Daphnia pulex: one gene and its partner. The protein of the gene in region 2 interacts with the protein of the main gene of each other region in a pairwise test. Links are inferred from orthologs where the notes say so. Each region holds a gene or a part of one and is shown on either strand. Other genes may lie near its edges. The genes, in order: ubiquitin-conjugating enzyme E2 L3 and potential E3 ubiquitin-protein ligase ariadne-2-like.

Region 1 (14,710 bases), on a different chromosome or scaffold from region 2:
ATACGGATCGAAAAAAAAAACCCTTGTACTAGTATATGCGCACCAGCAGCAATTCACTGTGCACCTTATAATGATGATCTTTATAATGAAGGGCAGTATAACTGGTGTCTACGTTATATTATCAGGATGGTCGATCTCTCGGCTTCAAAACTTCATTTGAGTTCACTTCCGTGTCAATTTCGTCTACAGACTTGACGGTTGTATATTCCCTCATCGCTATATAGTTTGCCCTATCTCGTTGGTTTTTTCAACAAAAATGAAGGCTTAAATATTGTATCACCAGCGCTATATACATGTAAAAGCATTCGGTGGTATATAGCAGTCACATATCTATTTAGATCGTCGTCGCCACACATGTTTAAAAGAGGGCAAATAACCCCTGGACAGAGGCATTGAAGCTTATCGGAATGAAAGAAAAGTGACACATGTGTGTGTGTGTTTTCTTCTGGATCGGTGCCGCCGCTTCCGTCATCAACTGTACACGTCCAACCAACTGGCTCTCGAGTTCCATTTTTTTCGGGCATTTTTTGAAACCGATTCGCGCAAAACCAACGACACTTAATTCGGGGAAATAAAAACCTGCTGCTAGTTTTATCTTTTGGTTGGTTTTATCAAAAAGAGATTACATTCATTGCAGCCTGGCTCACTTATTGTCTTCTTTAAACTATACGATAAATTCTTACAACAAGTTTTCAATTATCATTCGTCGATTAAAAACCAGCGATTGGTTTCGCGTAATTTGTATTTCCTTGTTTTGAGGTGAGAGGGAAATATTTCTTAGTGAAGGGTAGACATTTGAAGATTTAGTGTAGCAATATGTGGATGAGGAGGGCCACAAGAGAACAATGTCCATCTAGTGGCTGGTTTTTTAGTCTAAGAAAAGAAATACACTAGAAATGAGGCATGACAAGGTTTGTATTTGTGTGGGATGAATGCGACGATAACATGGGGGCCATTCAAAGCAGATTTTTCACGATATAAAAACAATGGGACCGCACGTACAGTGTAAAAGACTGGACAACTGAATAGGTTAGCTAAATATGGAAGCAAACAGGGGTCCGCTGTAGACAATTGTAGATTAAAAAGGAAACGTACGGGGTGAACATACATCGAATTCGATCATGCAAAAACCCCCACATAATCAAAATTTCTATTTGCTGGTTTCCGGATCGGCAGCCTTCGCCTCGGAGTCTTGAGATTTAATTTCCAAATTTTTAAATTGCTTGGCCAACTTGTCGCACTCCTTTTTGTGGATAGACCAGTGCAACTTTTGACAATCGCGGTTGCAATATTGCACAGATTTGCATATGGAACACTTGCTGGCTACCTTCTCTTGGCCGCAAGTGGCACAGGCGTCGTCATCTTGAAATCCACGCTGACCGTTGATGCAGGAAGTGAGAAGATTGAGAGCTAGTGGAGTCTCCTCTTTTGTCTTGGACAGATTGACCAGCAACTGGCGGAAGATGGTCGTCTCCTTGAAAGGGAAAGTGCGGATCGACTCGCGGATGAAGTTGTCCATAAACTCGGGAAAACCATCGGATTGACGTTGCTTCAAAAATGCTTTAACATATTGATTTAATAACTCCAAAACGGTTTTGTCGGGGTGCTGCTGCTGCTCTTTGGCCATTCTTTCGACTAGGAAACGCAAATAGTGGTATTTAAGTGCGAGGATCTCGTTGACTTCTTGGCTGCGCTTCATCTGATTTTCGCTAAGTATCTCCAAGACGTTTTTCACTTTTGTGAGGTTATCGTAAAGCAAAGGAAGTTTTTGAATAGTCAACAAAAGGTGAACTGGATGCAGATTGACCTGATAAATCAAACAAAACAAAAAGTTCAAGTGCTTTTCCGTGGCAGAATAAGAAATGAAGTGATGTGTCTATTCAAGTGCACAACCTGCATCACAAATTTGTGCAAAGCTGGTGCAGCAGCTGGTGGCAATTTTGGCTCAGTTTGATCGCTAGGAGCTACAGTGTACTGCTCTATTTCTGAGCGTGGAATGAAATTGTTGATGATGGAAACAACTGTGTGATTCCCTGGTTTGCCAAAATAATTCATTTTAGTTTTGGATGATTTGTACAAACATTATGATTGACTAGCCTACCTACAAATGCAGCCATTTGAGCTGCAGTTCTGCCTACTGAGTTAACCACATCAGGTTTACAACCACACTGAAGTAATTGTTGACAAATATCCAAATTTCCAGACAGAGCTGCAAAATGAAGGGAAGTATACTTGTGTTCATGATGACCTCCATTGGCATCAGCTCCCTTCGAGAAAAAAAGTCAACTTTTCAATCAAATTAACAACATTGATAATATAGTTAGACTTACCAGGTCAAGGAGCAACTGGCAAATATCTTTTTTCCCTTTAAAAGCGGCATGTTGCAGTAATGTCATTCCATGCTCATCCTCATCGTCAATTTCAACGTCCCGGGATTTTATAAGTTCTTGCAAACCACTAGTATCATTGTTGTTAATCTTGTCAATAGCTTTAATAAAGTTTTCCGAAATCATTTTTCGAGATTCTTTGGCAATTAACTCGTTTTTGAAGGAAATCAAATAATTCAGTCACAAATTTTCATATAACGATATAGTTTCCGTTGTCGTCTGCAACTGTTGCTATAACAACCGGACATTTCGAAAAACAAAAAATCCAACAACGCCAAAAATGCGAATAAAACGAAAACTTATTTTTGCTTCGTATGAACCTTTATTTCAGAAAAAAAACTTTTTCATTATTTTTCTTCTTTATATTTTTAGTGGTCTTCATTGAGTTAAAAAGTTTCTTAAACATTCAACGCTGCACGTTCAGCCTTGGTTTCGTTTGTACCACTGTTGTTTTCCCGCCATCGCACTTCGTCGTCTTGTCCGTAAAAACTGCTTAAAAAAATTCAAGCACGTTGACTGAACGAAGTAATCCCCGTTAAAAAAGGTTCCGTAAAATGAACAGAAGAAATCACCCAGCACTAACCAGCGGCGCAATTCCGGTAATATCAATCATAATTTCGAATTTTTGAATAAAACTATAAATATCTTTATTTCGACATAGTCCATCATTGGGAATGGCCTGCACAATGAAACTCCAATTCTACAAGTTTTGGTAAGCAACGAGCAAGATTTTTTCTTCATTTGCAGCATTTTTACATTTTCTTCTCTTACAATAGGGTTACAAAAATCTTCAGGGAGACAATAATGACCGTTACAGAATTCTCATCTCTGATGGAAAGTATTCCTATGCATATGGAATGTTGGCAACACAACTAAATCATCTGATTGTGGATGGTCAGCTTGAGAACTTTACCATCATTAGAGTAAAAAAGTTTGTTGTTAACAAAGTTGCTACTAAGGCAACTGCAGGCAAGGACCAAAAGAAAATTATCATTCTTTTGGATGTTGAGCCAATTGTGCCTGGAAGTGAAGTATGTTCACTTTACTTAGTTTCGAAATACAAATAAGGATATCTCTTCATTTTGAACATTTTTTGTTTAGGTTGGAGAAAAAATAGGAAACCCTCAGACTCTTAATGATGTTGGAGAGGTTACTGAAGAGGCAGCAGCAAAACCTGCACCTTTAGGAAATGTGAACAATTACAATATGGGATCGAAGTCTGCACCACCTAACAAAACTGGTGGATATGGACAGCCAACAGAGAAGTCTGACATTATTACCCATCCGATTGTAAGCCTTACACCCTACCAAAACAAGTATGTTTGTTGAGAAATTTCAGTACAAGAAAAATTGAATCATTAACTTTGCTTGTTTGTAGGTGGACTGTAAAAGTGAGAATTATAAACAAGTCCGATATCCGTACGTGGAGCAATTCTCGAGGTGAAGGAAAGCTTTTCTCGATGGACATGGTGGATGAGACTGGTGAAATCCGTGCCACTGCATTCAATGCCGAGTGTGACAAGTTTTACCACATGATTGAGGTACATTTAATTCAAAAACAGTGTTTGAAGTTATTTATTTACATTGTTATTTTTCGTTGTAGATCGGCAAGATCTTTTACATTTCACAAGCACAACTGAAGGCAGCAAACAAACAGTACAGCAGTATGAGGAACGATTATGAAATGTCGTTCAACCAAAATACTACAGTATGAATGTTTTTCAATCGTCAATCGTACCAGCCTCAATTTTTTTTTCTTTTACTTATTTTTTAGGTAATTCCTTGCCACGATGATACATCAGATATCCCATCAATCTCCTTCAACTTTGTTCCCATTGATCAGCTACCTAGCCTGGACAAGGACAGTGTTATTGGTAAGTTGTCTTTTAGGTGCATTAACATTACAATTCTTCTATTTGAATGGTGCCTACGATATGACCGATTGACCGTGCTTTCAGATGTCATTGGTGTGGTTAAGTCAGCAAATGACGTCCGCGTTATCGTTTCCAAAACGACAAATAAAGAATTGAGGATGCGAGAAGTTCAGATGGTGGACAGTACCAACACAGAGGTATGACTGGATTCTTCGTTTAATTGTCGAGCCCAGTTAATTAATCATTCTTGTCTTCAAACATCAGGTTAATTTGACTTTATGGGGAAAAATGGGCGAGGAATTTGACGCTAGCTCCCAGCCTGTTGTAGCATTAAAAGGAGTGAAACTTTCTGATTTTGGAGGTCGTTCTCTAGGAACAGTCTCGTCTACTGTCGTGCAGGTAAAATCAAATGTAAGACTTTCTATTTCTCTACTATTCTACAGCGCATATTTTTAATAGATCAATCCTGACATGAATGAAGCTCACAAACTAAGAGGGTGGTACGATAACGGTGGCTCATCATCGGCCGCTTCTAGCATTTCGGCGAGTCGTGGCGCTGGCACTGGTGGTAGTGGTGGGTCGTATAAGACTTTCGCTGAAGCAAAATTCGAAAACCTGGGAAAAGATAAACCTGATTTCTACAGTGTTAAGGCTATGGTTGCTATGATCAACAAAGAAAGAGCGTTGTACATGGCTTGTCCCAGTGATGAATGCAACAAAAAGGTAAACATAAATATATAATAAAACAACTCATTTTTGACAATATTTGCGTTTCCCGCAGGTCATCGATCAAAACAATGGCCTCTATCGATGTGAGAAATGCCAGCGCGAATTCCAGGAATTCAAATGGCGCATGATGCTTTCGGTATGACAAAGATATTTTATGAAATCTATTTCTCTCAAAACAGCACTCGAAATTTGTTATAGGTCAATATCGCGGATGCCACGGACCAGCAATGGGTAACCTGCTTCCAAGAAACCGCTGAAACTCTTCTTGGTAATTTTGTTTTCGAACTAATGTTACGTTTAGCATATAATATTTATTTATTTGATTATAAATTTTAGGGAAATCCGCAGACGAGGTCGGTAGATTGAAGGATTCGGATAATAACGAATTTCAGAAAATTTTCGAAGAAGCTACTTTTAAGTGGTATGTCTTCCGCCTGAGAGTGAAAATGGAGACGTACAATGTAAGTCTATGAGCATTATGAATTTCGATCTTGTTATCTGTTGACGCTTTTACCTTTTCTTTAGGATGAAAGCCGCCTCAAAACAAATGTCTATGAAGTGAAGGAAATCAACTATAAAGAGCACAACGAGCGATTGATTCGAGAAATGAAAGAAATGGCTGCATCAGAATGAATGGATTTTCCCTTGCTCCTTATCTATTAAACTTATAAAAAACCTTCATTTTCGGATTATACAGGAACAATTCTTTATGAATTCCTGTTCTTGTGAATCAAATCGAGATCCCGGAAAAACCGTGTGTGTAACATGATAATAAATGATTTGCAAAATAAACATGGATATTACAAAAAATAATTTTTCAGACAACTGCAAATGTATTGTTTTTCGCAGCTCATGTGCAATGAAATATTTCAACCATCAAGAGAGGCAAAGATAGAAATGAAAATAAATGAAGATCACAGTGCAGCTCTCACTGCTCTACAATGAAGTGAAGAGGGAAAGAGGGGGGACCAGTTCAAAATTTTAACTCTGCCTCTTCTCAAGTGTTTATGATGAAAACAGAAAACATTTAATCACTTGGTCTCTTCTCACTGTTTTTTTTTGTAAACTCTTCTGCATTCTTCATGAATTTCTTTTTGTCTTTGGAATACTCTTCAGCAAGATCAGCCCTAAGTGGATGTTCAGGCTCTGGATCATTAACCAAGGCAACCAGCGCTTGTATCACTTGATCAGTTTTGGTGGCAGGCTTCCAGTTTTCAGCACTTATTATGGGCAAACAGACCTGAAAGAAATAAACACACAATAATAAGTATGGCAAAAATTCCAAAAGGCAAATGTTTTTAAGACCTAACAGAAATTGCCAGACAAATAAGATATTTACAAGGTTAACATTGAAATTTTTACCTGTCCCTTTTCATCAATATTTGGATGATAGATTTTTGTCTTGAACGCAATTTTTGGTGGTTTGAATGGATACTCAGCAGGGAAATTTATTTCAATCCGAAAAGCTCCTTTATTGTAGGGAGCATTTTCCTATGAAAAATATATGATGGCTTGTAACCAAGGTAATTCAATCAATATTCATCTAAAAAATTCAGACTCACAGGAACAATAAGTCCATGCCAAGTCAAAATGTTTTGTTCATCAACTTGAATGTCGCGAAAAGATTTCAACCCAGACTTCTTGATGTCTTCCAATTCCTTTGACCACACAGAGAATACATTAAATGTTTATACAGATGAATTATTATCACTACAGATTATGAATTTGTGATGCAATATAGATAACTTTCAACTCACCTTGTGAAGTCTTCTAGTTGCCGCCATTTCAATTTAATCAATCAATCAATTACTGAAATATTACTCTACTTAGCGATTTATTGAAATTATTTACTACTAATATCTGAAGTTACTTCCACAAAAGAGCTGCTGTGAACGGCTGCTTGCCTGCTTGCAAACTTGTGTTGGCCTCGTAGATTTCAAGGCCATACACAAAGCACGTAAGTTAAAGTACCGCATACAGAGCCATCTTAAGTGAAAAAATGTTTCCTGAAATACGATTTTTTCAAAATTGGAATAACCAAACAAAAGCGCATGCGCGTAATATTTTGCTGTGCACAGTTCAGACTTCAGAGTAAGGTAAAAAAAAATCTTGTCTTTCTGTCATTTAAATAAAGAGCCGTAATAACAACATCAAATAAAGAGATAAAAATGCGAAAAATTAATCTTTTGGCAAAAATTCGGAAGCACTATTTGCAACATAAATTTTGCAATACGCGAAGTACATTTGTTTTTATATTTAGGTCACAAATTAAAGCTGCTGTTTGTCTGCCTGATCTAGTCCAAGAGCTTTTTTTTATTTGATTACTTATTGTGTACGTAGGTTATCCTATGGTGGTGACTAGTCATTTAGTCGATCTTCGAAAATAACGATAAGCGAATTCATGATATACAGTTCAACCCGCAATCATACGCATATAAGGGAATCATTGTCGTTTCGGAAACGGCGGTGTTTCTTAACTTGAAATCTATAATTTTGTGGCTGAACTATTAACAGATGTGGCTAAAGTGAAATAAAGTGGCAAGAGTCGTAGTTATTGCGGGAAGAAAAACAAATGTCACGTCCGTATGTGTACGTGTCACAAATGTGATGAGGTTTGACTTTTTGGAAACTAAAAATCTGGGTGAACGAAGATACGGTATCTTTCTTATTGTGCTAGCGGTGCTAGATTCTGTGAAATTTTACGGGATTCTTAAGAGATTCCGAATCAAAGTTTCACCCAAATTTCGCTACTAGGGGCATCACTGGAATGTGCGAAGATTTAGAATTTTTCAGATTCTACGAGATGCTACAAGATCCTGAATCAAAGGTTCGCCAAATTTGGCTAGGGCCTAGGGGTGCCAATAAAAAAATGCGGTTTGCGCCTGCTAACGGTGAGAAAAAGGTAAATTTTGTTAAATTCTAGAGATTATGTGAAATTCTCCCAGATTTCGAAGATTCTGAGAGTTGCCAATCTGGCAATCGCTCGGGGCCTCGGCCGAATTTAAAATGCATTCTAAAAATCAAAATTCATCGTGCAAAAAATTTAAATTAATTTATTCTTATTTAGATAAGACTAAGCACGTTTAAAAAGTGTTGCCTTCGGTATTTTCAATAAAATTAATTCGGGATTTTTGTAGTATTTACATTTTGTGCCTTTGGGCTTTGGACTCATCATCGTCTGTTCAGGTCTGTCAAAGAACAGCCGGCAATCCAAACGACAACATTTCGAATTAAATTGCATAAAATTGTTTTTCTAGGAAATAAAATAAAAAATAACGTAGTAAGTAATATTTTTATAAATCTCTATTTCACAAGTGACGTGGCTGCAATTGAATAAAATATATTTTTAAGAGAACAAATTATAATCTGGCATTGCAGCCGCAATGATCGACAACGTAAAAAAATCGATTTATATTATAGCGAGAAAAACTAAGAAAAGAAAAACCCGGTGTGTCGTCTTTTCACGATACTTTCTATCCTATCAACGGTAATTTACGAGGTATTTTATCATTACTGGATTATGTGTCGCAGCGTGATCGAGTCATTGTCATAACTAGACTCTTGTGTCGAATTCAATTACATCTAAAGATTGAGGTGTGAAGCAAAACAAGAAAGGCTTATGCTGTCGACTCCTTCACATGTGCGTTGGCCATCAACGACCTTGCTCGTCCTCCAGATAGTGTTTCACTAATATTTGTTTCATTAATAGCTGTTGATTAGCTGAAAATTCCATATTAACATTCCATTCAAGTAGTCTTAAAAGTGAGTTGAAGTTTTGTTTGACGAGAATTTTTCCATTCAAACTTCATTTCATTCTAGTACACATCACATGTCAGTGTTTTTGTACTATTTAAGTATATTCTTTAACTGACAGCTTCAATTTACGACATCATATTATTCTGTAGATTGTTATTTTATCTTGTAGTTGAGATCGCTACACCTGAGACTTATTTGTGTGTGGTGCTAAAGCCATGTGTCTCCTACAAGCATTCATTCACTGTTAGTCCTTTAAGCTGTAACACATCAAATCAAAAAATTGTCTTAGGCATTGACGATTGTTTCACAAATTTGTGTTTGGCTCTTGTTGGAGAACAGGTGCATCCGTGACGGGGGGCTAAGAGAACTCTCCAAGCCCAGGCTTGTGGCAGGCGCTTTTATTTTATTTTTTGTTTGCCTTTTTTTTGTTGTTGGCCATCTCCCGCCTGCGACGGCCAGGCTTTTGGGCGTGAGAGAGAAAATCTTAACAAACACAAAGAAAGGCTAACCATACTGCAAGAAAATGGCATCAGCTACTGGATCTGATCACACTCCATCGTCCAGCCCCAACCCTGGTAGTTCCTGTGATGATTCGTCGCGGACCAATTTGATCATCAACTACCTGCCTCAGAATCTGACGGAGAGCGAACTCTTTAAGATGTTTGTCACTATTGGAACGGTGACGAACTGCAAAATTATGAGAGATTTTCGGGTAACTATAATCAATTTCATAAATTGGACTTATCATCTGATATCTTTTGAACAAAATGAATGTTATTCCAATTATAGACTGGATACAGCTACGGATTCGGTTTCGTCAACTATCAAAAAGCTGATGATGCTATCCGGGCTATTCAAACTTTGAATGGGCTTCAAATTCAAAATAAACGTATCAAAGTATCGTATGCCCGACCACCTGGCGAAGACCGAAAGGAAACCAATCTATATGTTACTAATCTCCCTAGGTAATGAGAATTTTGGGTACACAACTTTATATGTCAAAACTACATCTCCTTTTTCCCCAAAGCAGAGATGTTACAGAAGATGAATTGACAAATATATTTTCTGCCCATGGAAATATAGTGCAAATGAATTTACTCAAAGACAAAATAACTGGTATGCCCAGGGGTGTGGCATTTGTCAGGTATAAATTTATTTTCACCTTTTTTTAATCATGTATGATGTTAAAATCAAATTGTTTTCAGGTTTGATAAGAGAGAAGAAGCCATGGCTGCCATTGAGCATCTGAATGGTACAATCCCACATGGACGTACTAACCCCATTAGTGTAAAAATTGCTGAAGAGCACGGCAAACAGAAGGCAGCTTATTTTGCTGGATGGGAAGCTGGAAGACAGCAAGCGCGACGTAAGTGCATCGACATTTTCTTTAAATATATATTTTAATTGCCTTGAACGGATCACATGAGCTGCCATGAGAGACGAAGCAAAATCCTGCAACTGATACATGTTGTAACTTAAAACGCGTGTCTATTGTAATGCATCCAAGTCTCGTTGGCCAAGAAACCAAACCACCCTTCCGTTTAAATAATCTGCTAGAAACGGAATATTAGTTTGCTACTACAAGTTTTCTTCAGGAACTTGTCTTAATAATTCCAAATATCTGTCTTAGCAGTTGGTAATGTTGGAGGACAACCCCAAGGTGGGATGGTTAACCATGGTGGACATGGGGGTGGTCATGGTGGCCGAAGCGGAGGAGGTGGACACTACAACGCCGGTCTGCCGTTAGCATCGCGGCCGCCGAATGCTCCTGGTTTCGTCCACTCGTCAGGCATGGGACAAGTTCGACCGGATAAAGGGTCTAATAGCAGCCGTTACAATCCCATCGGAATGGGTGGCGGCTACAACGTTTACAATTGGAACTAAGCAATGAGAGGGCACGATAAGATGACGGAAGATTTAAAAAAGAACTGAAACTAAATTGAACTACCGACTGCAGACGAATGAAAAAACATTGTTGCAACGCCATCAGTTGGAGGAACATGATGTTTTTCCCAATTCTGCTTGTTATCAATCTTAACTGACCTAATTACTCCCCTTCCTTCCTCCACTTCTCCATCATGCACCTCTTTTTCTCATATTTTTTCTTCGGTCGTCATTTGGCTAAAATGGTTGGATTTTCGCTCGTTAGGGTTTATGTCTGACTCGAGTTTTTCGTACACTTCTGTGTTCCCCATCATGATTTCTTTTCTTTTTCTGCATCATTTATAATCTGAACCCTTCTTGCCTGCAAGATTTCCTGAACGCGTGTATTACCCTCTCGATTCACTTCATTCTTCTTCTCACGGTCAATCTTGGCCGTTTTCATTGCTTTCTAGTGGCTCCAGAAGATCGTTTATCATATTTTGACTCCCACAAGGTCCAGTTTAGTTTCATGTTATCTGGTTGGTGATTTTGTTTTTTTTTCTCTCTTGCTCTCTTACTCCCTTTTGTCTACGTCTGTCTCCATGGCCCGCCCTTACACTGTATCCTTCTCCCCCCCTTCCATATCCCAATCGTTTGTGACTGCAATCATTTGCCAAAGCGTTGATTACACTTCACCAGTTACAACGATCACGAGAAATGGGAGAATCATCCTTTTCAATGCTGCACGCCGTGGTTATAAGAAATTTGTAGTTTATTTTTCATTAAGGGTATTCAACGTTGTTTAGGAATTGGGTAGATACTCGAAAGGCTTCCAGCATTCTCTACTTATTGTTTAATGCTCCTTTGTTCTCAACGTTTTTGGTTCAGATTAAAAACCCTATGACACCGCTTGTTCTATTACACATGTTCGTGTAATACCGATAATACTGAAGTAACGATAGGGGTGGAGGAAAGGGAACAACTCAACGTTTATCCACATGATGTTATTTATCAAATTTGGTCTGCTGCTCTTTATTTTAACAGGTAGTAGGTAAATTACTGCTAGTAAATACTCAAAGAAATGCGTGTATGGGATAAGAATTCGTCGCTTATAAATTTCAATTCTGCTTCATGCTGGCGATGGCGGACATAAATGATTTTATAGTTGATCCGTATACTAAAGAGTTCTACAGTCATTTACTAATTTTAACTCATTAAAAATACGTTCTTTGCCACTGGTAATGAGCTTAACCAAATAACCATCATCTTGTAAATTACCTGATCATGATTCATGAGTCATGTGACTGACTAGTCGGAATCGGAAGGTATTTTCTAGCAGACGACGAGAAGAAAGTTTGAAATTGACGTCTGAGACTTGAGTAGACTCTTGTTCATCACTTTCAGTGAATAGACATGAGCAGTACTGTAATAGAAAATTTTTACGGTGTTTATCTACTTTTCTGTGAGAATCCAAAGTATTTGGGACGTACTTACATTGGATACACTGTAAACCCGAACCGTAGAATACAACAACACAACAAAGGAGTACGCTCTGGAGGTGCATACAAAACATCTAATAAAGGGCCATGGTATTTGTTGTTTTTGTTGTTAAATTGTAAAATAATCATAATATGTTTATCAGATTAAATTACTGACCATTTTCTTTTTCAGGGAAATGTGCTTGATAGTTCATGGTTTCCCAAATGACATTTCAGGACTCAGAGTAAGTAAGCTTTCAAAACATCTTCGATTGCTGCACATCAAATAATACAAATACAGTTGTTTCAAGTATAAAACTCAATATTCTTTTTCAATTTAGTTTGAGTGGGCCTGGCAACACCCAGAAAAGTCTCGCAGATTGAGAAAGCTGATTGAAAGGAAAAGAGCCAAAGAAAACAGTTTTCAACACAAAATTCGTATTCTGTCTCATATGTTGCGAATAGGACCGTGGAACAGACTCGCCTTAACTATCCAATGGCTCGTGCCAAAATATCGAGTCGAGTTCGAAACCAGTTTGCTGCCACCACCTCATATGCCCATAGAAGAAGGACGTGTGATTTCCAAAAAAGTTCCATCACCTTCGAATGAAAAGGTTTCGACTAAATCATCCTCATCCTCAGCAAAGTGCGATATTTGCCATCAGATAATGGATAATGACGACGTTTTGAATTGTATTAATAATGACTGCACCTTAAAAACACATATTTTGTGTCTTGCTTCACATTTTTTGAAATCTGAACCAGATCACATGCTGCCATTGGAGGGATCATGTCCAAGTTGCCATAGTGAATTATTATGGGCCGATTTAATTCGCAAATTCAAGGGTTGTTATCAAAACCAAAATCTTGCTCTTGATGAAACTATTTTAACATAAATTTTGTCAAATCTATATTCTTGTTCTCTTCAGTTTAAACATTTTGGCTACGTCCGTATTAATTTGCTCATATGAAAATTCTTAAGCAGTACAAATGTCTTGTATCCTAATGTAATTGATTGTCGCTTTTGTTTAAATAAAAATTGTATTAGATCAATCAATTTCCATGAGTAAACATTGGTGTAATTTTTGAACGAACGAGCGAATTCACGTAATTTCCTCCCTTAAAACAACGTTGCCGGTTGGCCGAGCGCGCCTTTGATAGTGCATTTATTGGCCTTCAAAACGAGTATTGTCCTTGAAATTTGGCCCTGGCCTCGGTCATTGACAATATCAGTATATAGTACTATTTGGAACACAACCGTATCTCGAAAGGACGGCCCTTGACCCACTTGATGCGCTGGGACATTTTCAACGCATCCCAACCTTGTGTTCGATCTTTCTTCACGGTCACCTACATACATAACCCTGAAACATCCCCGTGAGCTACGCTTGAGATAGTAAGTAAAATCATTACTAGATGGCGTTAAAGTATTAAAGATATTCCAAAACATTGAAAACTTTTAGCCAAAAAATCGCCCATTGAATATGTCAGTGAGGCAGCGTTAAAAGAGACCAGATATGTGTGTGTGTTTAAGCCATTTACGAATCTAATTACAAGCTGACCTAGATAGCGCTAGTGGGAGTGGCTCGATTTTCCCTCCCAATCACAAAACTAGTCAAACCTTTGCTGTCTGCTCTGTGAAAATATCTAGGCGCGGCAACCGACGTGCGCCACACCGTGTGCTCACAAGATAACGCCAACAAGGTGGAGTTAAATGTCATGAACAGTTAAGAGTTCAGACGGACGCTGATTTTCTCCGATGTTTCAGCGTTGTTCACTCATACATTTGAAACCCATTGTGATTTGTGAAGTTACGTAACGTTTTGATGAAATGGCAGACATCCCAAGTGAAATTGACGTTAAAAGTGAAATTTATGGCCCTGTTGCTTCAGCTGTGAGTTTTGTAGGGTTCGCCCTAACACACGTTCTGCTAAGACCACTCACGCCAGCTTCCGTTCTGAAATCAGGAGCACAGACAACGTGGAAATGGAGGAATACTTGCAATTCATTGGTTCATTCTATATTGACTGGCGTCTGGGCGATGCTTTGGTACGTTATAAAACGCCTACGAATTTGTTATGCAACATCTAGTCATAAGCTTTAAAGAAGGATGTATGAATGATGCATATTTTTTTGGCAGTTTTTATTGGCATCCAAAAATGGCAGAGGATTTAATAGGAACACATTCCACTTCATCACATTTATTGGTATCCGTTTCTGTTGGTGAGTTACGTAACTTGCGCGTCATCCATGTTTATATCTACGGGCGGATGAGACTATGGAACGTCTGCTTTATTGTATAAGTTGTGTTGTGTAACTTAATTTTAGTGTGGTTATAAGTTGTTACAATGAATTATTATCCTACATTCAACAAGAAATGAAAATAATGAGGTCACAGTCTCATAAATTTTCAGTATCTCATTTTTATCAATTGGGCTGATTATTTCTGTGGCCTTGTGATCTTGTGATTGGCTATGATAAAACGACGTTAGCCAACTCATAATTTTTGATGGTGGAAAAACCACGTGCCTATTGACATTTCTTGTTGTTTCACACAACCCCCAACCCCCCAGGAGACGACTGGAACCTCGTGTTGTATAATGCACATGCGCGCTTGCGCATT
Region 2 (15,930 bases):
AAATTTTGTCAAGGATCCGTCTCAAGTAGAATCGTGCGCACATGTGCATGAAGGCATCAAGTCTATCTTGGAAAAATAACCTATGTCGTGGTTGTTTTTTAATTTGTTTTCTGTGGAAAAGGGTGATTCACGTGTTGAGAACAAACACACAAAAAAAAAACAAGAGTTGACCGATTTGTGGTTTCTTTTTTATATTTTCCCGTCCGGGTTTCGTGACGTCAAACGAGAACTCGCTGACGTCATAGAACGCAGGTTTCTAGAAAATCTACGCACATGCGCAGGCAGGATGACGTCGGCCAATCACAAACCAGTTTCGGCGGAAATGGGCGGAGTCATTCGCATCGGAATGTTATCGTTCAACAGAAAAAAGCAGACCGAAAGCAAACAAAATAATATAAAGTCTAATCCTCATAAGTCATTTTAACCGTCGTCGCTTTGTTATAATATGCGCAGCTGAATTCGGTTGAAAGATAATAACGACTACGACGTCCTACTAAAAAACATCGACATTTTTTTGTTGGTGGTTTGATATCTGTTGCTATATGCTTGCATGTCGACTTGGTTGATCAAAACCGGTTCAAACTGCTTGGGAAAACCGAAAATACAGCAAGTCCGGGCAAGTTCTGAAACAATAACCCGTTCGAATCAAGAAAAATTACCATATTCCACTGGGACTTTCTAATAGTGTCAATTTTATATTTTTAAAATTTAAAATAGGGAGATTTGATTATTCGATTTCATTTCAATCTTTCGTTTTTTTTATTTAAAAAAATGAGTTTGCATCAATGAGAACACACGTGTTTGAAATACTCGCATGAAATGGAGCAAAGCGAGATGGGTTATCAAACAAAGAATTTTATGAAGGTTAAAAATAAGAAAATAAACGTTCAGTGACTCGAATCGGAATCTTCGGATAGGGCACTGCTTTGCCCAGCCACTCTACACTGGTGCAAAATAGCCTCTTCGAAAGCTTTCTTGACGGCCTTACGTTCCGTCTGCTTCTTGGATTCAATCAGTTTCGCTTTATCACGATCAGGATCCACTCCAAGTGGCTCCAACTTATCTCTGGGCAACCATTGCCTGTAATCAACAACAAATTCAGCCATTATCACAATTGCGTCTGGTGTAAAGAATTAAGCTGTGGCAAATAAAACTAACGAATACTAACCAAGTCCGTTTGGCATCGAAGAATAAAACCAGAAAGGCTGGTGGTTGAACTCCAGCTCCCATTAAGAGAACTTCTTCGGGTGGTATGGCGATGGGGACTCCATTATGTACATAACCACTCCTGGGCCAGGAAGGATCGACAATCTAATGGAAAATGTAGACCTCGAATTAGAACTAATTCAGTACCAAATCCTAGAAATACGTTTTTACCAGAGCTGGATACCAGGGATAACCTCGACACTTCGCCCAAACGAGATCAAGTGGCTGTAGTGGAATCAAATTACAAGGCAAAAGTGAAGTAGAACTATGCTGATGTCGAGGAGGAGATGCTGAACTATCGTCACTTGACTGGCGATCAGATTCATCGCCAGAATCCGAATCACTACTGCTACTGCTTCCACTGCTGCTCCCTTCACTCCCAGACGATTCACTCGATCCTCGATGTGAATCCTCTTCGTCGTCTAATCTGTTGGTGCGATAAACTTTGAAACTTTCACTCTCAATGTTGGGAAGGTGAATAGCTCCAGGCTGCTGAACCGAAGCAAATAGCTTGTCACTTTCTGGATGCTTTTGCTTCTTCCTTTTGTTTAGATCCGTAGCTGCAACTGCAGCTGCCACAAATAAATTGGTGGATGCACTGGTGTTGGTGCCACTGGGTCCTGGTTGAGAAGTACTATTTTCTGAAACTTTTCGCGGCCTTCCACCTGCCCGTCTAGGTGGCGAAGTGCTTCCGGATGGTTCAGGCTTCTTGAAAGCCGCTGCGGCAGCTGCTTTCTTGGTGAAAAGCACCGCTGTTCGTCTATTGACACCCGATGGAGACCCAGTCAGCTGTTGCGGATTCACGGAGCTGATTTTTACTGGAGTTACTGGAACTGGAGGAACGATCGTCTCCAATTCCGGCGTTACTGGCACTGCTGCTACTGGAATTGCCGCAACGGCAACAGGGGTCGATGCGATAGATGTAGATGCCGGAGTAGAATTACGTTTCAGGACTTTAGCAACTAATCGATTCTTATTTGTAATGGATGGCGTGCTCTTTTCATCCGAATCCGTTTTGGGCGTTCGGGTGATAAAGTGATCAATCTTTAGTTGACGGGCGGCCGCTACGGATCGAGGCGAAGCCTTGACTGGAGGACCAGCAATACTAGAATCGCTGCTGCTTTTACTGCTACTGCTGCTGCTGCTGCTGCTACTCCCGCTGCTACTACTTCCGCTCGAATCCGAGTCACTGCTGCCTTCATCACGTGTTTCATTTTCAGGTCGTGATTTCGATGGACTGCTACTGCTGCTCCGGGTAGCAGCCGCTCTCCCGCCAGCTTGCAAAGACAATTTCCTACGAACTTTGGCCAATTCGTTTCTCAAAATTCGGATTCGTTTAACTTTGAGGGGTCCAGTTGGCATTTGTTGAGCTTTACGCAGGAATTCTTCGAGTTTCGAAAGCTGCTGTTCAAGGGTATCAGATTCACGATACTTTTCCGAGACGTACTTATCGATTTCTTCGACTTTGCTTTCAGGTTGACTTATTTCCGACGGTGGCAGTGGAGTTAAGTTGCTGCTACTGTCGCAATTGTTGTTGCTGATGACTAATGTTTCCAAATCCTTTCGAAGTTGTTTAAATAGAACCTGAGCACCTTCTTTGAGCTTGATTGCTTGCTTATAATACATGGTGTGCTGTGCATTATAGACAGTGCAATTGTGGATCATCAGGTTGAAATCTTTTTCGAAAGCTTCCAGCGTTGGATATTGCCCAGCGTCCAACTTGTTCTGCATTGTCGAAAAGTCCATCGGTTGTTGTATAAAATCGAGATAGTCGGGGACTTGGCTGATGTCAACCGGATCGGCAAAAATGTCGTTGTTATCACGCTCCTTCAGAGTTTGTAACAAACGTCGCATTAGATACTGCAACGGATAGATTTGGAGTTCCAATTCCTTCTCTTTAATCCGCATCAATTCTCGCTTCGTTTTCTCTCTTTTGCGAATCAACTCGCATAACAGCCGAGCTCGTTCCAAATCCTGACGAAGTCGTTGAAAATAACGCAGTTGGCCTAAGAGATCGTCAGGCTGAACAATCTGATCACCGCCCAATCCTGATCCAGACCCAGAGCCCGTTGCCGCTGAAGATGCTGGCCTACGCGAAGGATGGCTTGTTTGAAGACGACGTAAAAGAGGCACACCATTCCTGGACTGCCGTTTCAGAGTCCAGTAGGCAATCAATCTTTGGATAAATCTAGATCAAACAATATCATTAGTACAGAAATTTATTTTGCGGTAGGACAATAATATAAATACCGAATTTTCCCTTGAATTTGGGGAACGGAAGAAGCGATTTCCTGGACGCGTTCAGGAGGTATAGTGGGGATGGAAATAATAGGAGCTGCAGAACGTTTCTCTGCCAGGATTTTACGAGCCTTTCGCATTTTCTCGCGGAAAGCAGCTTTCGACTGCGCTTTGCGAATAACCTCACCTATTCCGTGATCACCGACCAATGGCTTTGAATCAGAATCGGCTGGTGTGTGAGCATCGCAGTAGGCCGCTTTACGGATGCTGATATTGGGTCCACTGCTTGGTGAGTCTTTGGCCGTGTCAATTTTCATGTGTAACCCAGCCTGTTAGAAGAGTTCAAGTAAGTATTTTGATAAATATGCTTTAATTACAGTCGTAACAATACCTGCTGCGCACAAGTGACATGGAACGCCGTGTAACAGTTGGCCCTATGACACTGAATGCAAGATCCAGCTCCTCGTTGCTTACAAATGTAACACGTCAATTTCCAACGAGCGGCAGGAATGTTTTGTATGCTGTCGATCGGTTCAAGGAAAACCTGAATAATAATAATAATAAAATGCTTAGTAATCTCTGCAATGATATGAGAAGATTGAACGTTATTACTGTATTAGCAAAGCAGACTTCTGGTATCCACAGAGCGCAAACTACATGAGCCCATCGGTTATCATCCGTTTGTTTGAAAGCACCTCCTCGATTTGGACACAAAGCACAATCAACCGCTCGTGAAGGTGACTGTAGACATCGACGACAAAGCCATTGGCCCTCAGGAATATACGGGACACCATAGCATTCTTGGTGGACAGCGAGATTACACATGTCACAGAAGAGGATCACATTGCTGTTTTGGCATTCTCCATCCATGCATATGCAACATTCAGCGTCCTCATCGATAGGTGGTCCTAGTTAGATATTTTTTCTCAAATTAGACATCTTTATTTTGCAGACTTAATAAAGAAAAATAGAAATAAAAACCTTGATCTTTCCCAGAACTTTGCATTTGAAAGTAAGACTCTTTTTCCAGTCGATCCATTAGCAATTCAAATGATTCTGGGTTTACTTCAGAAAGGTTTTCAAATCTTCTTTGTTTGTTTATCAACTCTAGCCAAGTAAAATCATCTTCGTCCATATCAAATTCCACTTCATCTTCCATTTCATCAGGAGATTTCTCAATGAAGCGATAGTAAGACTTTGGTCTTTCTGGGGCATCTGGCTGGCTCCATGTTTCGATGATGGAAAATGATGCCTCCGGCAGCTTAGGAGGGGAGACTTTTTCTTCTTTGCGAACCACTGGTTCAACTGGCTTCGGGGTCTTTTTCTGCAGATGTTTTGGAGTGTGACTTTTACTTGTTGGAGTTTTGGCATAGTCTTGGCTTGGTGTTTCTTCATTTTTCATAGGCACTTCATTCTCATAGTCCTCTTTGCCCACAAAGCTTATGGAGTCAAAAATGTTTATCCTTTGAAGTTTGCTATCAATTTCAAGTTCAACAATCTTCTGGGCTTCTGCAAAAGTCAAAACCTGCTGTGGTGATTCTGATGAAGGTAAAGAACTACCAGGATTTTCATGATTGAAATTAAACAAGTGGAATTGAATGCCCGCGAAACTTTTGTAGATTTTGCCGCAGTCTTTCGCGGGGCATTCATACGGCGGTTTAGTTGCTCTGATGTGGTTAAGAAACTCACGAATGTCAAAGTCGAGACCCATTTTATTACAATACAATAACAAGTATGTTATATTGTTTCACACACTGTTTTTTCTCTATTTCAAGAAACCAATTATATTAAACAAAGTTTTACATTTAGTCCATTTTTGTTGTCGTTTTTCAGACCACGCACTAAATGACAACTGGCCAGACACCTGGCGCCAACGTTTTACAACTCGTTACAGAAGTGTTTTTGAAAAGAAACCCCTTAGGCACTTAAATTATGGAAGATAAAAAAAAAAATTTCAAAATTTATGGGGCTGAATAATTTTTTTTAATAAACAAGGGTAACGGAGTATCCAGCACCTTATTTAATAAAAAATTGCTCAGACAATATAAGAAAAAGGGAAATAGTAAACGTTTCAGTGATGCAATTTATTCATTTGTTACTATGGGAATACGAAACAAAACTAAAAAGAAAATTTCGCAGTAAAAAAAAACGAAAAACAAAAAACGTTGAGGACAACTGATAAACGTATAGGACGAAAAATATCAAATGACAATAGACAATCGCAATTTCGATTCCTATCTAAAGCGACAGGTAAAAGCCAAAAACCTATCGACCGTAGTTACAGGCGCGTTGGTAAAAATTTTCAAATCCTATTCAATCCATTTGCTAACCAGCAAATATTTCACGACTCTAGGAAATCTTGCAATAGCGTGGTGCGCCGTTTCTCGCAAACGTCCATTTGAATGCCCAGATCGCCTCTATCGGTCGTTTCGGCCCGTTCCACTTTCCACGATAGATTTTCTATTTCGGCTTCCAACTGAGCCTGTTGGTACTCGAACTAACATAAACAGACGTGGGAACGTTAATATTGGTAAAAAGGCATTAACGTTTTCCGAATCACTCACCAATTCCTTTCGAGGACCTGCATCCATGTAGTAAGCGTAAGGGTAAGTATACTGAAGAGTATACCTACAGCGTGCCAACAAGGCGGCAGCATCCAATAAACACTGCCAATCAATCCAAGTACCATCTGTGCCGGTCATGACTTTACACTGAATACGCTCACGGATCCGTTGCAATGTTTGCTCCTCCAATCGTAAACTCTTTGCATGATTCTCCCACTAAAAAATATTCGAAAATAGCAATAAAAGTACAAAGTTTTGATCGGCCAATTTCTAGTAACTTACTCTTTCAAAGTAATGGAGATATTTTTTCAAGGCTTCTTTGGCCCGAGCGTGAGAAGACTCATTGGCTACGTTGGGATTTTCCTCATAGCGTGAACAACGGTAATATTCTGATCCGTGAGTCTTCCAATCACCCAGACACATCCAGCAAAAGTCATGTTTACAGCCATAACATTGCATGTGGTTACATCCTCCATTCTTTTCTATACAAATTTGGCACTTGGGACACACCTAGTAACAAGCAGATGGACCGTTAAGAGCATTATTTTCGTTTAAATGAAAATTTGAGTTATCCTTACCTTAGTATGAGCAGAGATGTAGTTGGCAGTTTCGCTATCATCTGCACATTTGGTCAGCCAATGTCGAATCGTTTCACAATCGGTGGGAGCGTGATATTCGCTTCCACATCGAAAACTAAAATATAAGAAGCTCTTTCATATAACGAAATGGAGAAAGTTTCTAAAATAAAATTACCAGAATGTCGTCTTGCATGAGCTGCAAACTATCCGCTTGCCTTTGTTTTCTTTGGCCCGTATAATTATGTTACAATTCGGACCCGGACAGAATCTCAGTTCAGGATGGGATCTGACATAGTCGGAGAAGGCATGGCGAACATAACGTTCCTTTAGTTGAGGCGTGGCTAATAAAGGCAAGACAAAGTCTTCTGTTGCCATAACAGAACATCCCATGCATTCAGTTGCTATTCACACAGGAACAAAAAGGTTAGAATTGTTCAATATAACATTGATTAACAAATTTATACCTGTAGACACACCATGCATGACCTGAGTTTCAAGATAAGCATTCCAACATCCCTTGCAAAAGAGGTGGCTGCAACCAATTCCACAAAAGACATCTTTGGGTAGCATAATAATGCAAATGGGACAAACTAGAGTTTTGGATAAGGTTTTCACCACAGGAGTTTTATCTGGTTTAAGTTTAGATTGAACTAGAAGTTGAGAAGAATCTTCCAGATACATTTTAATGACTGAGTCTAAAGCCCAGTTATGAGCATGTAGAAGCAGTTTTGAAAGAGACGGTGTCAACCTCAGCCGACTGCTTAAAGTTTCAACCAGTTCATTCAATAACCTATCCACCTATAATTTAAAAAAACAAACAGTTGATTTCTCCAATTTCATTGCATGTATAAATTTGTTACACTGACCTGATCAACCGTTAGACATTCAAATTCAAAATGTTCAGGATCACACTTCTTTTGGTTCATCGATTCACTGTCGGCATCATCACAAGGATTGTAGTAATCATCATAACCACATTCTTCTGTTTCAGAATATTCCACATCAGAATCATTATCATTATTTGACATGATGAACTAGAAAAAAGAAAAAAACAAAATACTGAGTCAATAGAGAGTTAATGGATACCACACATGAAAATGCAGTCCTGGCAATTGCTTAGTGCTTACCGATTCAAGCCACCGACGTCGACATTAAGAGAATCACTATTTCGAAGATGGAATGGTTGTAAATGGACGTCAATCAAACCCAAGGACGGCCTGGTTCGCCAATATTTTTAAAGCTTTTCCATGAATTTGTGTTTAATTACAATTAGCTACCCCACGAACACAGCTTCTGGCCTTCTTCAGTTCTCCTTCTGTAAATCCGTATTTTACCTACAGCGCTTCGAACGGGAGAAAGTTACACTAAAGGGTAAATACGAAAAAAACAATAATTTGTTAATTAAAATGAACAAAAATGCTTCTGTAAATTATTTATCTAAAAATCTCAATTTTTGGGGGTTTTCATCTGACGGTGTTTAGAAAGAAATTGTGAAGAAATCCGAAATCTATTTTATGTTTCTTTTATCCATCAAGAGATGGAGATGGATTCTACTTGATTGCGGTTTGAAAAACTTATCGAAAGGGTTCTCGAATAAGTTTTGAATGAAAAAAACATCTTACATAATTTTTGTGATGAAAGTCATGATGTTTTAGGTAAGTCGTTTTATTGTCTCACTATTTTAATCGTTATTAAATTTCAATAATCATAATAAATCTTGTAAATTTAGGAAAAAATCAGAGGCTCCAGATTGTTGATATCTTGATAATGGTTGATAACTATGCCAAAGGTTGCAGAAACTTTTAAAATTTAGGAAAACAAAAATTAATACAAAATTTTTTTTCAAGAAACATAATTTTTCGATACGCAAAGTGAATTACTTTGTAGGGATCATAGCATAGGCATTGATTATTTAAGTCTGTAGGGCTAAACACAGCTAGGTTATGATCCATAGCAACAATTTTCTGAAACACACCCGCAACGTGAACATATTTTTTTACCAAATAGCAAAAATTATGTATATTTCCCTGGATATGGGGCTCTTCGGGATCTGTTTTATTTAGCCGATTTATCTGGCAACGCAGCATGGCGCCAGTCTTTTTTGAGGGAAGAACGGGGAGAAGAGGGAGAATGGGACGAATGGGGGAGAAGAGGAAACGTGGGTCCCCTTTTTTTTCGTACGCCCTCCTCCCTCCCACTCGTCCCATTCTCCCTCTTCTCCCCGTTCTTCCCTCAAAAAAGACTGGCGCCATGCTGCGTTGCCAGATAAATCGGCTAAATAAAACAGATCCCGAAGAGCCCCATATCGAGGGTATCAATTTAAGGGGGTCTTTAAATGGAAGAATATATTTTTTTTATGTGATCATGCCCTGAAAAGTTGCCATAAACAGAATAGCTGATGATCTTTTGATTAGGACCTCTTCTATCAGCAGAGGAGTAACTACAAGTTGATTTAAATGGACCTAGTAGGCGTATTAGAAAGTGACGTTCTTGAGGAATGGGCGTGTAAAAAACAAAAATACGCAAAAATAACCATCACAGTCACAAACGAAATAACATTATAATTGACAGTTTACGTAAAACAAAACCATTTTTAAACTGGCTGTGCAAAATGCAAGGAAAAATGCTCATGTTAGCATGTTATGCCTTCGCATAAAGTTAATGTTATACATTCCGGAGCGGAACGTTTTCGGCTATATGCCAGAACATGAGTTTCACGTTGACTGATTACTAAAAGATTCTTTTACACTAGCGACAGCACGGCGGTTTTAAAGTGCAAAGTACAAAGGAATTGTGGCATGGTCCCATAAAGGGCGAAATCTTTATAAAGCACGTAAATTTTACACGTTGCGCTCCGTTACGCCGCGCGTTCTCGAAGTTGCTTTAACACATTACTTATAGTCACTTATAGTACAGGAGAGGAAAGAACTGATTGGACAATATAAGACTCCCCTCCCGACAATAGGTGAAGTGCCTCTTCACCCTTTCACTCTCAACTTAATGCCTCCCCTTGTCCATAGATAAAATTCGGATGAAATTCGATAAAATTCTAGGGAGACGAGATACTGTTACCTATAATTATATTACATAGTAATTTATATTAGCTGTATATTTTCCTGGATATCCACAAGAATGTGAGTATAAAGGGTTTTGAATTGCAAATCGGGTCTCCGGTATTGAAGATTGGAAAGCCCATCAGTTTCGAAACGAAGTGATCCTTCCTGCTGTATATCTTCTTCCTATCTGGATTGGGTTCGGCTTTTTTGTGGGAAAGCGTCTTGTATCGTGCACGATGGACGAGCGATGGCTGGTCGTCGAAAATTCTGGTCACTGTCAAGTTATTAAATAAGATACGTTCATACAACTGATCGTCCTCACCACCCAAGACCCAGAACAAATTTGAATAGACGTTGATTTGTTGAAAATCATGGATCGAAATTGCGCTGACTCTACCGAAAAAGTATCTGGGAACTGGCCTGTAATTATGTTAAATTGAAGAACAGTATACCGGTACATGCTATTAATTATACAAATATAATGCGGAGTATTTAATATATCTGTAATTATACCAATAGTCGATTGAAAAAGCCATTTGCCGTGGTTTCCCATCTTCTGAACATGAGTTAAGAACATAAAGATGTCTGTCATCCTCCGGTAGATAATCAATCGTTAATCAACGTAATGAAATATGAAACATGGATACTTATCCTGTAATAATAGAGCCTCAGTAAAGCCAATGTTTAACAGCATTCCTCGATTGAACGATGAACCATCTGTTCGTTATAGAGGAAATGCAAAATCAGCAACAAGCAACAGAATCGTGAATAGTGTAAAATTTTTGTGGATAACCTAACTAGATTGCTCTACGACTATGATGGTGTAGCTTTTAGTTGCTGTCCTGGAGAAACGGTTGCAAGTGGCGAAGAAATATAGGCAAATGTTCTGATCTGTCACGGAATGGAATACAACAACAGCAACTTTCTATTTTGATTGGCATTCGCAAAAAATGCTTTCGATTGGTCGAAATGAATGCACTCCGCAACGTCCTCATGCTGCCCCTGCTGGGACCCCTGAGCCTATTGGGCAGCATGCGGAGTGGATTCAATCCGACCATGCTTGATACAAATTACAAATGATACACAATCGTCAGTCGTCACGTGATCGTCGTCTGTTTCGTTTCGCGCGTTTCGTGTGAACACATGCAACGTTAGCTTCGACCGGCCCTGATGCCCCTGAAGTAGCGTTTTAAACTAAACCGTTCTTTTCAATCTAACAATTGAAGAAAAATTGTTCTTGCTGTTGACTTTCACTCGAATCGAATTTTTATATTATTTCACGATGGAGAGCAGAGATGAAGAAGTGCAACCACAGCTCCTTTCAGATGATCAAGTTATTGTGGCTTCTTGTGATAGTTCAAGAGTTACTATCATCAATGAAGGAACACCTTTACATTCGGCAGAAAATGGCTTGTGGGAAATCTTCTACATAAACATTTCAGAGGAAGACATGGTATCTGATCATCCAGCAAATACTGATGATACTGTTATTCCAAAGGCAGATGAGGAACAAATAGCTATTACTGATGGTTATCTGGAAGGAATAGTGTCGTTTGAATACTTCATGACAAGAGTAGAAAACTCAGATGGTTCCGAGTCTGGCATGGAAGACTCATCTGATACAGATTATGAAGAAGAAGTGCTGGAAAGAAACTCAAATGACCCAGAATATTTTCCTGAAGAATCTTCCAACCCAGTGAAAAAGAGAAAATGCACACCAGTTACAAAAAGACTTCCACCACATTTACAAGGTAACCAAATATTCTTTTTTTGTTAAATATGTGTTTACAATAATGGCCTGCAAATTTGAATTTTTCCAATACGAAGGTCTCATGGGTGAAGCAAACTTGAGATATGCAAGGGGTGAGAATGAAGATGCCATCAACCTCTGCAAGGAAATAATTAGACAGGTAAATTCATTATAAAATTGTGGGTGTTTTGCTAATATAATTGTTTTTCATTCACTTATATTTTTAGGCCCCAAGTTATGCTGAACCTTTTCAATTTCTAAGCATGTGCTATAAGGACCAGAGAGATGATGAAATGTCATACCAGTTATCTTTAATAGCTGCATATTTATCTCCTCAATCTCCCCAACAGGCCAATGAATGGTTACAATTAGCCCAGGTAAAATATTTTAGATCTATAAAGCAGCTTTTTTTTATGAAAATCAAATTCGTCGGAATGCAGATATCTTCTACTTCAATACTAAAATTGTTCGCTCTATTTCAGGTGTGTTTGAAGCGAAGAGATGAGATACAGGCAAAGAAATGCCTTGCCAAAGCTGTTCAAGCAGACCCTACAAATCTTCAAATTCATGAACGGTAACGTACAAAGAATATAATTTAAATACTATTTCTGATGTGTTTTATTCTGTGTGTTTCAGTCGATGCCAGGTGTTGGAATCAATTGGTGCTGAAAAAGAGCAGTTGAAAGCTCGCCTGACTATGTTGCGAGGTGTCCAACCGGAAAATGAACAAAAGAAAAATGAATGGGTCGAGCTTGCTGAAAAAATTGCCAGGATTTACATTGAGAGTGGCAACTTGCATTCAGCGCGTAGGGCGCTCAGTAATGCTCTTGTCACCTGCGCAGATAATTTCAAAATGAATCATTTTAACCTTTTATTGGAACTCCAGATCTTGACGAAACATTATCTCGATGTCATAAAAGTTCGGTGAACTCTTTCAACCGTTACCTATTCACTGAAATAATGAATTCAATTTAATTGCACTTACAGACTCTTAATAGACATTGCGGGTTGGTGTTTAACAATAACATAATCGACGAAATTGATCTCGAAGAAACGGAATCTATGGAACTGACGGAAGAACTGCCAATAGGCATTCTCAGCAAGCTCTGCATTGCCTTGGTTTACTTTAACAAACAAGAATTTGCATTTCCTTTGATCGAAACTTTTATGGAGCATGACGTCGAAAGTTTTGGGGGTATCCACCTCGACGTTGCCGAGGCCCTAGTAGAAAAAGAATTCCATCAACAAGCTTTGTAAGAGAAATCCAAAAGTAATTATTTTGCAACCTTTAAATTGTCATATTTCTTTTTTCATAACAGGACATTGCTAGAGATCCTAACAAAAAGTAAATCCTTTTCTCAAGCTGAAGTTTGGCTGAAATATGCAAACTGTCTCAATGCTCTCAATCGGTCAGACGAAGCAATCGTGGCATTCCGACATGTTATTCATCTAGTGCCATCAAGGGAGGATGCTAAAATATCTCTAGCAGAATTGTTCACCAAATTAGGTAACTACCTTAAGACAACTTATATCGTTTTCCAGTCTAATCGTTTCCGTGTTAACAGGTCGACGAAGAAGCTTTGGAAGCTGTAACGCAAGACTCGGAAGCTACTCGGATTGAAGCCAGCGTTTTGCATCACAAGTGCCTCTTGCTTTTGAAAGAAGGAAAAATGAATCAGTTCGTTGCGGCTTACAAATTGCTGATGATGCGTGACGCCTCGAATATTCAATCCAAGGACGAAGTGAACAAAGCGTGCGGCGCCAAAAAAGTAGGGTGGGAGTCGGCGGATGAAGATTCGGACGTGGAAGAATTGGACTTTGGAGCATCGTCGATCGAGTTAGAAGAAGAATATCGACTCCTCCGGCTAACGTGTGAATACCTGTTCAAGGAGAAACGTCTGGTGGAGTTGGAGAGAATCTGTTTTACGGCTCTTACGTCACCGCTTTTCAGAAGCAAGAGAGAAATTTGCAGAGAAATTCAGTTCATCACCCTTCAAGTGTGTTTAGCTAAAGGCGACTCGTATTATGCTTATAACCTAGCCCGTGGTTTGCTCTTACGTAACAACCTGGATAACAAAAGAGCTTTGAACCTCATGATTCAGGTGAAAATACTTACCTTATCTTTACCATCGTTCGTTATAATTGGTTCGACGTTTTCGTTTCAACAGGTTATCATGCGAGGGGACGATGTGCGCTACAATCGTTTTCTTGTGCGGCTACTTCGGAAACACCCCAAACATGTCTGTCTTAAGTGTTTTGAACGGTCACACGTGTTTAGCCAGCGGTACATACAAGCGCGCCTTAGGTAAGATGGCAAAGCAAAATTTTGATTTATTAAATTTAATCGTTCTTAATTTTGCATAGATGCTTATATGTCGGCGTGCAAAATTGATCCCGACAATCCGTTGTTTTTGCTGCTTTCTGCAATTGTCCTGGTTCAGTTGACATGTCAAAAGTTTTCTAGCGGGAAGCATTCGCTTGTTACTCAAGCTTGTTCCTTCTTCGATGCTTATCTGAAATCAAGAGGGGACTGTCAAGAGGTTTACTACAACATCGGCCGGGGAATGCATCAGCTTGGCCTTTTAGCTCATGCTGTGGACTTTTAGTAAGCACAGTTTACTTGTATTACATATTTATTTAACATATAACGTTGTTTACTTGTATTATATAACATTTTGCCGTTTTTTAAACTAAAAAATGTGTTATTTTTTAGTAAAAAAGCTCTGCAACACAAGCCAAGCGTCACACGCGGAGAGAATGCTCATGTATTCGACTTATCCAGAGAAATCGCCTTTAATTTATCGCTCATCTATCGGTCGGCTGATTTTTCCAATTCTGGTTCCGATGTTGCTCGTATGTATCTGGACAAGTATATCACTATTTGAAATATGATGCATCATTTTTCGTTAAAATTCCAAGGAACTGTAATGTATTTGTAAATAAATCGTCATCAAACAAGGACAACTTACATAAATCATCGATCGCTTCGAACACTTTTAGAAAGAGGGAGGCTATTCCCGATAACATCTAGCAGTTCTTTTCTAGAATCCTCCTCTGTTTTAAAACAACTTGCTTACAGTGACATTTCCCAAATGACTTTGACCAATGACGGGACTAGAGCCAACGGAGGGGTTTCCGGCCGGCTGGTCGAATGCAACGTGTGCCAGCGGCCCTTATTGGCCACATGCGCCTGCACGGCGGTTTCCTCAAGAAAGAGTCCGAATGCAGCGGATCCAGAGGGTCGGGAAACGGATCCGGCGGCGGGAGTGGCGGAGGGGGAGGAAGCGGCGAAGGTGGAAGTAGCAAAAAGCCGGGCAACAGTAAAAGAGATCCCAACACGCCGCCGCTTTTGACGGCTTCCGTCTCGGTGCGGGCCCTCATCGAAGAGAACATCATCCAGCGGCGGAATAATATGGCGGCCAACAATTCTTCCACGACTTTGATGGGTTCTTCTTCTTCAGGTTCTTCAGGTACTTTTTCTTCGGTGTCTGAAACCACGTCGGCGTCGTCGTTGTCCATCCACCAGTTCTGTTGTTGGCAGTGTCCAACAACAAGAACAACATTCTCATGCCTAACCGATCCCAGTTCAACCGGTCAGTCAACCGGAAGCGGTTGTTATGTTGATGAGAAGAGATTGAGAAGAGAATCAAAGAGACTCGATGGAAGCTCAGCAGCCGCTCATTCCCAAATTAGAGCCGGAAGATTATTTCGAAGGTACAAGTTAATTTTGACGAAGTAATGGATGAAAAATTCACTAAATAGTTTTCATCTTTAAAAAACAGGATCACTATTGGCTCTCAGCCCAGTCAGCCTTCACAGAGCCTTGGAAGATGATATGGATGCATTACCTGATGGCGATCCGGCAAGTAGCGAAGGTGGAGTTGCTTCCGTATTGCATAACTTGCACCACCACCACAGCAACAACCATCACGCGTTGAAAACTTTTTCTTGACGTCATCGTCGTCCTCCTCTGCACTGAGTGACGTCCCCGTTACTGGACGATTCCGCATTTTCCACCAGACTGTAGGAATCCATTGTCAATCTAATCCATTGACGTCCTAACTCATCGATCCGTTTCATCTTGGGTTTCGGCAGCCGCAGCTTCCGCGCTGTTATCCGACATCAGCAGCCTGGACGGCTGGACCTACAGTCGGACACGGACAACAGCGGCGGAAGTCACCACCAACAGCAACATTATGGCCAGAACGGCGTGTGCTAGTACTGTGATTTGTCGCAATATCTGGCCAGCAGCGCTGGAGATCACGTCGTCAATGAATCGGTCGTTGTGGCCTCTGTGGGCATTTACGGATATGATCCGGTGGGCCTGAACGGCGGCTTATTCCAGCACCAACACGACGGTTTATTCCAGCACAAACACGACGGCGGCTACGTGTCGTATCGCCACCAGCACGAGACGAGTGTCGTTGCCGGATTAGTGGGCGCCGGATTCGGTTTCGAGCCGTCGCCTTCGACGCCGCCGTCGGTCTGCTCCCCGCAGCATTAAATCCAGCATCAGCAAAACTCCAACCAGCCGGATT

The links.
Region 1: the proteins of potential E3 ubiquitin-protein ligase ariadne-2-like (region 2) and ubiquitin-conjugating enzyme E2 L3 interact in a two-hybrid assay, tested with the Drosophila melanogaster proteins (2 studies listed by BioGRID). The link is inferred for Daphnia pulex from reciprocal best matches to the Drosophila melanogaster genes ari-2 and Ubc10.

What each region holds. Positions count from the first base shown.
Region 1 is NC_060017.1:3,010,513-3,025,222, reverse strand, and holds ubiquitin-conjugating enzyme E2 L3, read right to left. Parts: upstream 6,950-14,710; 5' UTR 6,775-6,949; coding exon 6,748-6,774; intron 6,649-6,747; coding exon 6,553-6,648; intron 6,482-6,552; coding exon 6,353-6,481; intron 6,231-6,352; coding exon 6,018-6,230; 3' UTR 5,801-6,017; downstream 1-5,800. Other genes in the region: ankyrin repeat and MYND domain-containing protein 2-like, read right to left, coding at 1,151-1,807, 1,894-2,033, 2,102-2,267, 2,331-2,513; replication protein A 70 kDa DNA-binding subunit-like, read left to right, coding at 2,942-2,986, 3,049-3,099, 3,164-3,418, 3,489-3,703, 3,766-3,928, 3,991-4,095, 4,162-4,261, 4,346-4,458 and 6 more; sex-lethal homolog, read left to right, coding at 9,270-9,458, 9,536-9,711, 9,777-9,890, 9,952-10,112, 10,377-10,630; structure-specific endonuclease subunit slx1-like, read left to right, coding at 12,023-12,198, 12,281-12,332, 12,429-12,983; TLC domain-containing protein 2-like, read left to right, coding at 13,919-14,136, 14,228-14,310.
Region 2 is NC_060023.1:7,783,699-7,799,628, reverse strand, and holds potential E3 ubiquitin-protein ligase ariadne-2-like, read right to left. Parts: upstream 7,923-15,930; 5' UTR 7,714-7,922; intron 7,621-7,713; 5' UTR 7,615-7,620; coding exon 7,453-7,614; intron 7,385-7,452; coding exon 7,051-7,384; intron 6,988-7,050; coding exon 6,762-6,987; intron 6,702-6,761; coding exon 6,587-6,701; intron 6,519-6,586; coding exon 6,291-6,518; intron 6,225-6,290; coding exon 6,009-6,224; intron 5,942-6,008; coding exon 5,786-5,941; 3' UTR 5,508-5,785; downstream 1-5,507. Other genes in the region: bromodomain-containing protein 1-like, read right to left, coding at 888-1,080, 1,169-1,311, 1,378-3,394, 3,457-3,773, 3,836-3,988, 4,057-4,352, 4,426-5,155; general transcription factor 3C polypeptide 3-like, read left to right, coding at 10,925-11,393, 11,470-11,552, 11,620-11,769, 11,875-11,966, 12,029-12,311, 12,380-12,645, 12,712-12,899, 12,958-13,013.